Lepisosteus oculatus: one gene and its partner. The protein of the gene in region 1 binds, or shares a complex with, the protein of each later gene. Links are inferred from orthologs where the notes say so. Each region holds a gene or a part of one and is shown on either strand. Other genes may lie near its edges.

The links.
Region 2: eif3jb (region 1) and eif3s6ip share a complex: the UniProt entries of both Homo sapiens proteins name them as parts of the eukaryotic translation initiation factor 3 (eIF-3) complex. The link is inferred for Lepisosteus oculatus from reciprocal best matches to the Homo sapiens genes EIF3J and EIF3L.

Annotation. Positions count from the first base shown.
Region 1 is NC_090700.1:47,205,114-47,212,427, reverse strand, and holds the start of eif3jb (eukaryotic translation initiation factor 3 subunit J-B), read right to left. Parts: upstream 3,249-7,314; 5' UTR 3,159-3,248; coding exon 3,137-3,158; intron 3,023-3,136; coding exon 2,934-3,022; intron 1,111-2,933; exon of another isoform or gene 975-1,110; intron 584-974; coding exon 520-583; intron 360-519; coding exon 268-359; intron 1-267. Other genes in the region: strc1 (stereocilin), read right to left, coding at 5,985-6,079, 7,118-7,268. UniProt on the Homo sapiens protein: Component of the eukaryotic translation initiation factor 3 (eIF-3) complex, which is required for several steps in the initiation of protein synthesis.
Region 2 is NC_090712.1:11,362,586-11,370,100, forward strand, and holds the start of eif3s6ip (eukaryotic translation initiation factor 3 subunit L), read right to left. Parts: upstream 3,124-7,515; 5' UTR 3,019-3,123; coding exon 2,977-3,018; intron 2,490-2,976; coding exon 2,447-2,489; intron 1,747-2,446; coding exon 1,536-1,746; intron 995-1,535; coding exon 915-994; intron 542-914; coding exon 512-541; intron 41-511; coding exon 1-40. UniProt on the Homo sapiens protein: Component of the eukaryotic translation initiation factor 3 (eIF-3) complex, which is required for several steps in the initiation of protein synthesis.

The DNA of each region.
Region 1 (7,314 bases):
ACACTGAAAAGCAAAAAGAAAAGCATTTCTGCTCTTCAGCCTTGTTCAGGTGTATCAATCTTTCTACTTTTCGGCGTGAATTCACTTTTACTTGTTCCTTTGCTGCCAACGCACGCCGACACAGCTCCCCACTCAATCCTCTGCGAGTTACCTCTGCTTTCCTACTAGACACGTGGGGAGCTTGAATGGCTTTTTATATGAAAACTATCCCTGTCACGTGTGACACAGGTATATAGTGTGTGGTTACCGAGCGGCTCCGATACTCACCCTCTGTTTAATTTCTTCCTGCTTCTTCTTTAGTCGACTCTCTTTCTCTTTAATCTTTTCAATTAATTTTTTCTTCTCTGAAACTTTTACTTCTGGATTATAAAGCAAAGCAAAAGAAGAAAAGCACAAGTAAATTATTTATTTTTGTTTATTACTGTGCAAAAAAACTGATAAAAATGACAATTTCATTCACTGTTATTAAACAGACTAAAATAAGACTATCTGCTAAATGCTGGCTTTCTCCTTTCTCACCTGTTTTTTTCTCCTCAACCTTTTTCCCCTCTTCCTCCTCCTCCTCATCGTCATCCCAATTGTCCTGCAGAAGGAAAGGAGCAGGTAAAGTTTTTTTCAAGACATCCCACAGCAGCTCACGGTCTAACTGAAGTCTCTACCGTCTCCTGTAGCTAATTAGACTGCCTGCTTTTGACTTCAACTGACTGGATGAACTTGTTAAAGTGCTATTTTCTCTCTTCATAGAAAGCGCAAACCCTGGTCAATTTGTACGTCCAGTCAAAGGAATCTTCTCCCACAACCAAAACCAACATTAAACTTCACTGTCAACAGGATACCAATGAAGAAGGTGCCTTGGTCATTCAATGAAGACACTTCTGTTTTAAGCTTATGAATAACATGAACCACATGCATGTATGTTTTATTAGGGTCAAGGCTAACTATAAAGATCTCACTGGTCAGCAGTCAGCAGTTGACCTTGTGCCAGTGCTTGAGGATAGGACCAGGAGAGTTAGGCTCACTGGTACCGAAGACATTACACTGCCACTTGCTCTTCCTCCGAACATCACACACACAGGCACGGACAGCCATGTGTGTGCCAAGAACTGGAGGTTCACATTACACCGGCTCCTTCGTCACTCCTGCTGCCCTGCGCAGTGTGCGTTTTTAAACAAATGAACAAATACTGAAGTTCGCAAACCTGAACCGTTTTAACTTTTCTGTTGCCATTTATACAATACATTACACAGCGCTTAACTTTACACACAAAGTGGTTTTAAACTGAACGGCACTTTCTGGACAAATCATCAGCAGTCTTAATGCTTGATTTCTTAGAAATAGATCACACCCTGTGACCTTATCCAACAATATCTCTGCCCTCTGTTAGCTAGCTCAGCTCATTTCAGGGTCAAAATTATCTTTATATCTGAAAGGAAAACCAGGAACTACTGTAAATTGTTTGAACAATACTTTCCCATAGTGCAATATATGAATCCTGGTACTCAACCAAACGAGCTGATCTGCGGGTGTAAGCTGTTGTACAGTAAGCACTAGACCTTTCTGTAGCATTATTGACTCCCTGCCAGGGAGGATTCTGGAAAAGATCGAACAAAGACTAGGGGCTCACAGAAATGGTTCTAGGAATACTCATTGTGTCTCTGATGTCACCAGTGTCTTGTTTCAGCTTCAATAACCAACAGAACCTGGGTTTAGCCTGGGCCTACTAACCTAATAGGAAACGTTCACATTTGATAGATGTATAAATGGATCCCACTGAGATCCCTCAGAGACAGCAAAGTCAAATGTGGAAAAAAAAAGATGAACTATGGAAAGAAAACACTGTTACAGGTAAAGGATAAGATCCGGTTAGAAACAAATGTTAAAGCTTCCCAGTTCACGACCTATACCAAACATTCCAGGTTAGCCATTGCTGAAATACAGACATAGTGCAGAGGAAAGGTACGTTCACAACATAAACCATTAGAACTAAACATTCCTTATGTAACGATTAATGCAAAAGCCACATCCTCCATTTAATATTTCTAAGAGGTAACTCTGTGAGGTATGACTATTTAAACTTTTTAAAACTTCGCTTAAAAACCATCAAATCCCCCCAGAACTACAAACACACGTATTGCTCGTTGGTTATTGACATCAAGAGCAATAAGATGACTTAACTGGTGTCGTCATTTCTCTAAAATCAAGGTTAAAAAAATGCACCGGCTGACTCAAACTAATGCAATCCAGTCCGTCATCCGATCAGGCCCAAAGACGGCATGACTGCTCACTCCTGCCATAGTGCGCCTCACTCCCCCGAGTACTCGCTCTCTAAACACACGCTCACTTTTAATCTGTACAGCTCCGTGTGTAACGACGGGAATCCAGCGTTATCTTTAGACGCAGGAGCACACGGTGCCATCACTTGAAAGGAGGGGTACTGTCACGCACTCCCGCTAGCTCTTCTTCAGAGGCGAAACGCCGACCTGCCACGAGTAAAACATATGGGCACGACTCGCAGCGCGTCGCCCTCGTTCAAATCGACTCCCGACAACTCTGCCGATTCGCAGCAAGTTGCTGAACACGGGCTACTATAAGAAGAAAATAAAAACACAGACGGGGGCTCCTGTGAAAACTGCCGAAGCGGAGCGAATACAGTCAGCCGCTCACTCGCTCTCACATGGCCTGTCAGTGCGTCTATACCGGCAGCCAGCGTTACACTCTTTCCGCACAAACACAGCGCGGCGCTCGGAAAACTGCACAGGAGGGAGAGAGAGACAGCCACAGCATGGACAAAGCGGATCTGCAAACAAAACCCAGATCTAAAACTAGTAGTGTACCCTCTTGGTTGCTGACTATAGCGGCCAGACAGCAGCGCCCGGGCCCCCGCGGCCTGTGGCGGAGGTCCCGCTCCGGGCTGCCTGGACGCCCGTATCTACCTTCACATCTTCCTCCTCGTCTTCGCCTTCCCACCGATCTATCGCGGCCGCCTTGTTGATCGGCTCCTCCGGCTCGAAATAGTCCGCGTCTGTCAAAACACAGAGAACAGACTGTCAGCCGCGGGGAACAGCACCGCACGCATATCCCATTTCTGTATTTTTTTTTTCAAAGGAAACCAGTCACTCCCGTCGGAGAGTCTTACCCCAGGAGTCAACATCCGCCATCTTTGCTCGCTTTCGATGTGTGAGTGAGGCTGAGTCAACGAGCGAGCAGGTCCTACTGGGCTGGCGGCACCACCGCGCCCTGGGAATGATGGGATACAGGAAGACTGCCGCTAATATGTTCCATCTCACCCTCTGCTGGGAGTGTTGTGCTATAGCAATCCAACCTCTTTTATCCAGTCAAATGTATTATTACACCGTCCGGCGCTTTCAAACTAACACCTGAAGAAGGCTCCGCAGCCGAAACGTTGTGTCTTTTCTTTTTCTTTTGGCATGGAATAAACCTTTACCTGTTCCTTTGCAGCCTACCCGTGCTGACGCTGCTACCTACTTGAACGCTTTCGAACTAATCCTAGTCGCCTAATGTTAATTCGAGCAGTTGTATGACTATTGACAGATTGTTTCATTGAGCCTTTTTACTATATAGTAAAAGACGCCGCTACCATTGTCTGAGGCTGAGCTCAGTGAACGCTTTACATGTGTTGAACTTCGGGTCGGTCGGTGTGCAGTAGAATATATATACTGTGTGGTTGTGCATCAGCGCTCCGGATCTGGAATACAATCGCAGGAGAGACCGTAGAGATGCTTGATTTCGTTTAATGAGCAATGTTTGAACATCCAGATGCACACAGGACGGACGATATTCTCTACTATACAGAAGTTTTATTATACCGTCCTTTTTATGATATTTACGAAAAATAAGTTCAATACAATAACCATATGAAATTCACACATCGGTTTTTGTCGTGTTATACTAGAAGCACACATCAGGCATTTAAATTAATCACCAAGCACAAAATTAGTAAAATATTGTGCAGTATCACTCCAAGTAGATTTAAAATTATTACAATAACAAAAATAAATCTTGAAAATATATAACAAGACGCTCTATTATATAATTGTACTTAATAGTTGAGATCAAGGAACTATATAAGTAGATTAATTGAATATACATTTAAAATAGCACAATTTAACATCTTAATTCAGTGAAAGCAGTAAAGCAGTATGACGATAATTACATGACGTTTTCATTTATAGTTTCATATGAGAAATACAAAAAGGAATCGAAATGTGAATGTATACAGTATATTCCGTACGAGCGGTACAAAGCCTGAAAAAGCAAAACAAAGATAATTAAAACAACATTCACAGCAGACTGAAAAATAACGAAAAGAATATAATGACCCAGCTCACTTTTTAAGAAATAGTCTCAGTTTTTACAAATATGTGAAGACATCAGCCATTTTTACGTTGCGTAAAAAGGGATATGTGTAAAACACGTTTTACTCCAGGACTGTCCAACCCCGGTTGGACAAAGGTCTCTAGAGCAGCATCACCTGCAGAGCTGACGGGAGCTGTTCAATCGGTCCAGTTAAACCAGTAACCAGCTGGTTTATCTCGTTCAGGGCGGAGCTGGAATGAAAACCCGCAGAGTCACCGGCCCTCTGGGCCCAGGGTTGGACAGTCGGTGTACACCACACTATTAATGTCCGCAACATTTCGAGACAAAGAAAAAAAAAGCCTTACAGAAAATTCCTTCTAATTCCGCAATAGCCGTGGAATAACAGGCGCTTGATAATAAGTGCTACAACTGACTTTATTATTCATCATTCGTGATTAACATCATCATTTGCTTTTAGTCTGTGCCACCTTAAAACACACCAAGAGGGCTGGTGTTTTGTGCTTTCCTACTACAGTATAAAACGTAGGCACCTGCCATTCAGTTTTAAACAATGTTCTCTAGAATCCTAGTTTTATCCACTTTCAACTGATGAAAAAATAGGTAAGTCTCTCTATTGTGGACCATACTAATGATATTGGTTTACCAATACCAATATTGGTCAAATGTGGGGAACAGTAACTACATCATCTCAGTTGTAAACCCACACCCCTGTGACAGGACCGCATAAATGTGGAGTTGAAGCAGACTTTCCAACACAATCCTAAGAACACGCTGTTAGGCTCCAGATGCCTTTAGAGTTGAATCTGTTTATGGACACATATCTGACAGTTTGTATCTAAATATTTTTTCTTCATCCCAATATTTACTTGGGAAGTATGTTATTTCTGCACCTGGGTAGCATAATTCCAGTTCTTTTCCCACCCACGTTCTTAATGATGTAATTTAACTGATTGCTGTATTTAATTTGATGAGATGAGTTCTTTTCCCCAAGTCTTACTCTCTTGATGATCAACAGAGAGCTGCAAGGCTGTGGGACTGTTGGACTCAAAGATTTATGCAACACTAATAGAGACAAAGGAAGAAGGCCAGTAAATTAGAAATTAACTACATTGCAGGTGGAGAGGTTGAAAAGCAGGTAAGGAGTCCTCTGTGTGTGTATGAACATGTGTTTGTGTGTGCTTGTGTATTTGTATGTGTATCTACATGCACGTGTTTGTGTGCACGGTTGTGTAGTTGCAAATTAGTGTGTGTGTGCTAGTTTGTGTACATGCACAAGAGTGTGCTAGTGTGAGTACATGCTCATGAGTGTGTGTGTGTGCGCATGTACACGTTTGCGTGCATGCACAGGAGTGTGTTCTAGTGCGTGTACATTCACATGAGTGTGTGTGCTAGTGTGAATACATGCATTTGTGTGCATGTACATGTTTGTGTACATGCATGAGTGTGTGTGCTAGTGTGCGTGCGTATGCACATGAGTGTGTGTGTGTGTGTACGTACGTACATGCACATGCACATGCACATGCACATGAGTGTGTGTGCTAATGGTGTGTATTCACATGAGTGTGTGTGCTAGTGTGTGTGTACGTATGCACATGAGTGTGTGTGCCAGTGTGTGTGCAAGCACATGAGTGCTGCGCAGGTCTGGCTCAATGAAGCAGGCTGTGTCCAGACAGGAAGAACGACAGCAGGCCCAGGAACAGCACGGAGGCGGCGGGTTGCAGCGACAGTCCAGTGGACCTTCCTGTCAACGAGAAGAGCAACACTGAGGAACTGCACTCTGGGTAGCAATCAACAGCAGCAGCAGCACCGCAGAGAGAGGAGCACGTCAGGCACCGCCTTCTCCAGACATTTGTTTCTGTTATTGTTCACCTGCCAAACACGCTTCGTATTTCCAGAGATTTCATGTCAGTGTGAAGGATTTAAGTTACCACTCTAAGAAGTGCTCAGGTCTGGGAAGATGGAAAACACTTGCTGTCCTACAGTATAGCTGCCTTCATAGCTCTTTTGTCTTAGGCTCCATTACAACTCTGGAGTGACACACCAGTCCATCCTGTTCATATCACTGGGCTCTGGGCGTGACGATCTGTCTGGCTGTTTTGCCAAGGTCTCTTTCATGGGAGAAGTGAGAAGAAGACAACCCACACACTACCACACTAATGTAATTACTGAGCCACATGTTCTTTATTGAAATCAGCGACAAAAGCACAGCGTTCGGCTCCTTCATTGTGAACAAGTATCAGGTGAACATTCAGTGTTGATGAATATTATATGAGTATCAAGGTGCTGAGGATCATTATAAAGTGTGAATGCTTGTTCCAGGGGCATGTGCTCGTAGGTATTATAAATGAACTGCCCTGAGGATGGCTCTGTATCTGAGATATTTAGAGTATTTAATGTCTTCTTTGTGCTTTTCAGCCTGGAATGAACCTCTGCTCATTCCATTACACGAATCAGGCTCAGAGTAGTTCCGTCTGGCCATAGCGAGTTTCTCAGTGTAAAGCAGTATGATGTGAACGGTTATCTCTGCATCTGCTGTTGCTATATGCCAAGTTGACATTTCTAGCTATCCCCCTGCTCCTGGTTTCTGGAAAGCCATGGTCAAAGCAGATATTGACCAGGCCATGTCAACATGAGGACCATTGTGGGTTTTTTTTCCCCATTGACTCAATTTTCGAGAACGACCAAGAGATTCAGTTTCTTCTTACAAGTTTGGCTGATAGCTGTGAGATACTAATTGTGGTGAGAGGCGCTATATAAAGCGTAAGGTAGTGTGTCGCACCCCTGAAGTCCACGGGCTTGTCCTCCCAGGGCGTCAGCACCATGGACAGCGCTGTGAGCTGCATGCTGCTCAGGGCCTGGCGCTGGCTGGAGGTCACAGCTGCAGCCTGGTCATAGGAGAACATCCGGATCTGGTCCGGACTGAACACCACCTGCTCAGGGGCAGGAAAGGGGGCAAGGTCATGAAACACAGGGACA
Region 2 (7,515 bases), on another chromosome or scaffold:
CTGTAGTACAGTTCTTTATAGAGAATCAGGAACACTGCATCTGAGAGAAAACAAAGCCATTTTAACACAACTCTGGAAATAATTAGAAGTGATTGCTGAAGTCTAATTTATTCTACAGAACTACAATTTTATTAAGTATGAAAAAGATGCTGTCACACAATCTAAACACTACTTTTACAATGAGGTATAAATAAAACACAAGGACATTATTCAGGTTAAAATGACAAATACTGCGTTTAAAGGAACCTAAGATGCTGAATTATCTTCTCATAAAATTATCTGCACATGCCACACCAGCTTAGCCACTAACCTTGTGGGATTCACACAAAAGGCCCAAAAGTAAATACATTTACTGATTGCTTTTAGGAAGATGCATGAATTCTAGCAAAAAGAGTCCTAATCTAAATTACAAAACAGTCCTATAAATGTGGTATTTCTAACTATTGTTCTATTTTGAGGTTAACATTGTAAAATGGCTTATAAATATTTTATTTCTTAGCAGCACTCTTACCTTGTTTTCCTGAGTGAGGATTAAGCACTTCTGTGATTCAAAAATACATTATTTTAAAATAGCCTTACCAATCAGTTAGTTGTGCTACAGTGTAATACACCCTGACAGAAACTGATAGTGTGCCTCACAATCTCCTTGATGTACATTTTACTTACATCAGTATTCTTATTAAAAACATTTTTACCATATCAAGAAGAACAAAACTTAATAATTAATAGTTTTATTACCTTTAGTATTACTCTTTCTGATATGGGTAAGGGTTAATGTTCAAAATTAAAACATCTTTTACACAGCTTCAGCAGACACTATTGCTAATCAATTATTATTCTGATATGAAAAACAAAATGCAAAAAATGAAAAGCAGAAGATTTTTTTGGCTAATGCTGTTAAAATAAAAACTTACCATTTCCCACAAGGGAGGCTATGGCCTCAGCTTCTGGCCATGGGGAGGTCTTAAAAAATCTTTCAGTCAGCTTATTCCAGCTACAGAGAAGAGGGAGAGAAGTGGTATAGGTACACAGACCTTTATTTAACAACTGCAAGCCACCTCTGTTTGAAACAGTACACATAAACAAAGGACACAAATACAAACACCTGTAACACCTGGCTTTTCATAAGAATACGTCTAATTAAAAAATGGAAAAGAAATGTGCAATTTAGGAAAGACAGAGGCTACATGGAGAAAATAACTTGAAAGACAAACCATTTACAGCAGGTGAATCACCAAGCAGAAGACGGGGAGCCACAAATTTACGAAGAGCACATTCAATTAAAGCCAATTAAAGCCAAAACATAGTGCTTAAGGTCATAAACTGGGATCTTTTAAGAACCACATAATTATTGACATCTGAGGAATCTGTAAGCTTTGATGGACTTAAAGATCTGTTTTCTATTGTACTTGTTCTCAGATGCTTCTGAGCTAAAGCAGACATATACATTTCTGCTTTTCCTATTCAAAAACATGTTTCTGCTGGTAATGGTTTGTGTACTCTCAGTGAGCATGTGTACTAGAACCTTGCGATACCTGTTCTCATATACATCCTGAATCTCATATATCTTCTGCTCAATGCTCTCGCTGGACACTCGATTGGCTTGCAGCTCATAAACCTTCTGATCAATGAGGTCTGAGATCGTTTTGTGAAAGTACTGCAGGAAGTTTTTAATCACTTCTGGGATGACATGGTAGGTCTGTTGCTCATACTGACGCTCATAAGCCAGGTCTGCTTTAGGGTCACCTGAGAGACAACATAAGAAAGGCAAATGTAGTGTACAAATATTACCAGTAGTCAGCTTTGCAAATGTGTTCATGCATATATCTTACATATGAATCATAATAATAATAATTCTTACACTTCTATAGCACTTTTCTGGAAACTCCACTCAAAGCGCTTTACAGGTAATGGGGACTCCCCTCCACCACCACTGTGCACAATCCACCTGATGTGGTGATGGCAGTACACTCCCCACACATCACCTGAGTAATGAAGCCAATTCATAGATGGGGATTATTAGGAGGCCATGACTGGTAAGGGCCAATTGGAACTTTTGGGGTTTGGGGGTTACACCCCCACTCCTTTCGAGAACGCCCTGGGATTTTTAATGACCACAGAGAGTCAGGACCTCATCTGAAGGACAGCGCCTTTTTTTACAGCATAGTGTCCCCCGTCACTATACTGGGGCATTAAGACTCACATTGAGTGGGTGAGCGTCCCCTGCTGGCCCCACTAAGAAAGCAACCTTAGTGTTTCCCAGGAGGTCTCCCATCCAGGTACTGACCAGGCTCACACCTACTGAGCTTCAGTGAGTTGCCAGTTGTGAGTTGCAGGCTGATATGGCTGCTGGCTGCTGGAATAAACTATTTTTAATTGAATGGAATCACCCTGTTGGGGATGAATGAGCCGAGAGCTTACGTTTTTTTACTCTTAAAACACTCACCCGTGTGCAAGTCGTAGTCACTGGAGTAAGAGTAGGGATCATACTGCCAAAAGAAAGAAAACAGCTGATAAATTAAAAAGGAAAATGCAGACAGTCCATTTTAGAGCTGTAAAATAGGCTAACATCAGTCAACACCCCCGTTTTACTTAAAAACGTTTAAACATTTGGAATTCGCAAGTGTCAAATGCAATATTTACCAATATTCACAGGGAGCAACACAGTTATTCACACCCGATGCACAAGAATACACATGATGAGGTATAAACTAATGTATGAGGTAGTTGACCACCTAAAACAATACTCTTTATTTTTTGTCAAACGGGTAGACTATACGTCGGAATCATAAAAACGATAAATTAATGTATTTCCTTCCAATTACACCCTCGTCTATATGTACGTTACTATATGTAACAATTTGAAGATGACCACTGTATGCCGCGGGCCTCCGCCTGTCGGCAGCTCTATTTAGGAGAGTGATTATTTCATGTGCATTATTCGACTTTTTCCAGAACGAGTATAGCGTTACTCACAGTACTTACATCTCCGTCTACGTCCTCGTTCTGGTATGACATGGTTTTAGGATTGGTCCCCTTTCAGTCTGTAATAGATTCCAGCTAAGAATACAACCATGCAACACACATAACGTGCACAGGAAAGAGGAAAAAAGGGCCTTCACTTCCGGAGTAAAACCCGACGTGCTGTGCATTCTGGGATTGTGGTGGAACCGGCCGTGGTACTTTTTGCTTGTGTTAAAACTACCAGTCAGTGCAGACTCAATCATGGGGGGCGCTGTTCGTAGAGAGGTTGTGATCGAAGAATAAGTGAATGCAATTGACTGCCCTCTGCGTTTTACGATGTTAAAAAATACGGTATTGTGACAGCAGGTGTAAAAACAGGTTTCGCTGTTAAACCAGTAATCTGTGGTACAGTGTAATACATGTGCTTTATAATCTTGATGCATATTTTACTTACAAAGACATAAAATGAAAGTTGCATTTGTCTTGTATTACGAAAATCCTGTGTCCATAAGAGTTCATCTAATAGTTCTATTAATGTTTCTTTTAATTTTATTTTCAATACATAAGAAATAAAATAATACGTTTGCTAATTCTCTCTCTGCATCACTGGTGTGGACAGGCATATGCAGATCCGAGGCTCACAATGAGCTATTCAAAATATCATAAGATTTATCCAAAGGACATGTTTTCTCCCGTTATTTCACAGTAATGTTACTGTCAAAGTCGGAAACGAGACATATGCTTAGGGAAATTTAATTTGTCTTAAGAATGGTTTTTGGAATAACAAGCACAGTCGATTCTCCGTTTTCTAGCACTGGAAACAATCAGGTGCTGACCTTCCTCTATTCCCTCTATTTCTAAAAGAAGAGGAAATGTTTGTCAGCAACTAGCTGTTATTTGTACTTGCTATATGTGTTGTTGATTGTGTACTTTCCCCTGCATTAGGTCGTGGTTTTATTTGCCAATAGTAGGAACACTATACTGTAGATACTGTAGCGAGATGGAGTCGGCGAGGATGCAGACAGGAATCCATACTCTTTTTAGAATGATACCAATGAAGTCGACAAGTTTTACTACATAATCAAGGTGTCTTCACCGCACCACGATTTACATCGATTGCCCATATTGCAAATCAAGTTCGACGTCTGCGTGAACTGCTATGGAAAAAACGTAACCAGGTCAAGCATCCACAAAATGAAGAGTGTACACAGCCACGCAGTTTCTCAAGAAGCACTATGTTGCCACAGCTGTGTATTCAAAACGAAAGAATGCATGTAACCGCTTCTGCCTGCTAGCGCTACCTGGTCAAGTCCTGAGTCCCGCTATTTATGCAAATGTATTTCCACGCCTGTACTTGCACGGGCATAATCACATACGTTGTTGCAATGCACGGTTTAAAATAATAAATAGGCAATCTGTGCAAAATACAATGTAAATGCATGTAAGAATGTCAGCTATACTCATCAGTTTAAACCTAAAGTGTTACACACAATCTACACAAAAATGAATTATGCATACTAACGAAACAATTACGTTGTCGTGAAACTGCCTAATCCTAAGAGCTATTGGAACATCGACAGAGGTGGGGGAAGTGTGAAGTGTACCACTTATTGCTACACAATGGAAAATACCGCGATTCAGCTCCTCGAATTCCTAGTCACATCCGAAATAAAGGACAGGCTCCATTCTTGCGTGAAATGTTAATGGTATTGGAAAAGGCAACTTGCTTTACAGGGCTACATGTTTGGAAAGTCGTCAGATACATTTTACAGTTAATCGGGCATAAAATATACATCTGATCAGAAACAGTATCGTTTGGTATAACAGTAAATCATACTGTATATCAATGATCCCAATGTATTACCGTTATACTTTCTGAAAGGTGATATATGCTAGTCTTGCTACAATTACCACAGTGTAATTCTAAGCAATAGGAATCTCCCAAATGAATTGTTATGTTACTGTGATGGGAACATCATCATTACTGTACGTCGGTGGTGAAAACTCTTTGCTCTTTAATGTTACAGATTTTAGGAGTTCTAGCTTAATCACATAATATCGAGGTATGTTTTCAGCTTTGGAAGATAACACCCACTATTATCTTTCTATTAAATAAAACCACTACAAGGTTTACATTATGCATTGTCATCTTGTACAGCAAGTACCCATGTTGGCTTTTTGTTATAAAATATTTCCCTTTCTTTAGAAATGTTGGCTGACTTTTAAATACACTTCCACACTTTTACATAGGATCCACTTGTTTCTTCTGGTTCACGTTTCTACATTAAGACTGAAGAAATCTACTGGGGTGATGGTTTCTGTGCCTATTCAATATTATTATCAAAATTATATTAATAATAATAATTCTTAATGTTATTCTTCAGGATTTACCACATGAACAAGGCACATCTTTTTCCTATCAATTAATTCAAAATAATTTGTAATTATTTCACCAGATACCTTAAACTCTAGTTCACACTGACAACCTGGTTTTTACCCACCTATGCAGCAGGACACATACTGGAGCAAACTGAGAGAAGCACAGTACTTTGCTCAAGGGGACGACAGCAGGGTGCCACCCAGGAAGTGCAGTCATGGCCTCCTGGTTTGGTGTCCAGAGCCCCTCGTTACTAATCCACACTCCCACCCCCAAATCCAGGTGTGACAAAATCCACAAGGTGTGTAATCCAGCCCTTTGAAAAATAACCTGAAGGCTGCTGCAAGTCTTCTAAAATAGGAAATCAGTAGCTGGATGAACAGCAAGACTGTGCCTGGTAAGTACTGAGATGGGAGACCTCCAGGGAAATCCAAGTTGCTGCTTGATGCTTCAGGTGACACTCTTCCCAGTGGGCCGCAGTTTCAAAAGCAATGTCTAATGACAGTGCTGTAGCCGGTGTCATACTTTGGATGAAATGTCAAACCAAGGTCCAATGCATTGAGCGTCATTGCTTGTGGTGTTTTTGTTTTTTTTTGGGGGTGGGTGCCTCCAAATCTACAGGTAATAGAGTTGTTAACCCCACTGTCAAGGCTAAGCTCCACCATGGGCTTGCCCAGTTGGGCCTCCTAATTCAATTAGAAAAGCAAATGCTGATTTCCCTTCCCAATCTGTTGTGCGGCAGGGCTGCTCATCCAAGTGAATACTGTGCTTCTAGTCTCTTTGGGATCCTTTGGAATTAAAAGAGCTACATAAGCGTAATAATTATTTTTAATTAAGAGACTTAAACAAATGTTCCCTTAGGATGGAAACTGCAATATTAGAGTCTGCCAATAGAGGGTGCCGTTCGCTCACAGTTAAAAGTCATCGAAGAGCCGAATGTAGTTGAAAAAAGTAGATTTAAGTCTTTCTTCTGTGTGAATTTCTTCTGTTTTAAAGTGTTAAACGAATCTCAATTTCAACCCCTTTTTATTGTGTACAATCAACTACATTCTAATTTTAATTTGAATGCGTTTTATTTTTTCCCACAAAGGTTTCAAATACGAATAAATACTACCAGATAAAGTAGAGGTAGCCTAAATATAATGAACATCGGGAAATACATTGATGAGGAAACTAACAACAAAAGGAGAAACAGCATTATTATTATTAATAGTAGTTTTAAAATATGATTAGTAGTAATATTAAAGGTGTAAATACTTAGTTTTAACTCAAAAGCCTTTTACCCAAAAAATAATTAGACTAGTCTTTTTCAGAGATTTGCAGAACAAAATAATGCTTATTAGAATATAGGCTAAGCTATAATACATCACTTTTATTGTAAAACTGAATCAAATTCACCTCTCATGTTAATTACACTGTGCTGCTTTTTATATGTAATTAATCAGCAATACATACTGGTGTGGTGGCAGTGCACTAGACTTCTCATTGCATTGATGCTTAGAAATCAAAAACGTTAAAATGTGTTTTGTATGTTGCATAAGGAATTATTTGTAACCAGGCTGATGTTTGTCTGTGTTCTGTGAAAGCCTGTACCTTAGCAAGTCCACTGTTAAAAGTATTTTGTCCTTTCATACTTTTTAATGGTTTTATATGTTGATGTATTTTAATGAAATTTAGGAAACACTGGTCAAACAGGGTAGCAACCATCTTTCTAAATAAGAGATTCCTTTAAAAAATATCAGATACAAGCTTTCCATCTTCATTCCTCAAGCAGAATAACTATAGTATTACAAAAAGAAATAGAACTATTATAGAAAAACAGTTTTAACAAAACCACTTTTTTTTCTCTGACTAATACCATATTAACATGGGTAGTATTTGTCTTCATTAAATAGTGCTTTTGAGGAAAAACTGTCATGAAGTATGATTTTCTTTACCTTTTAGTTTTTTGGATTTTTGCTCTCAGTTTAATAAAACGTTCTTTTAAATTGAGATGCAGAAATATTTTATTTAATAAAATGTAGACAAGAAACAAAGGACATAAACCTGTGATGACAGCACTTGTTTTTTTAGGGCACGTAAACATTCTATTTTCACACAGGAGGTGTCAGCTCATACTTAATTTCTCAGATCAGTAAACTGAGGAACAAGACTATAAATTACAAGGTTTGTAG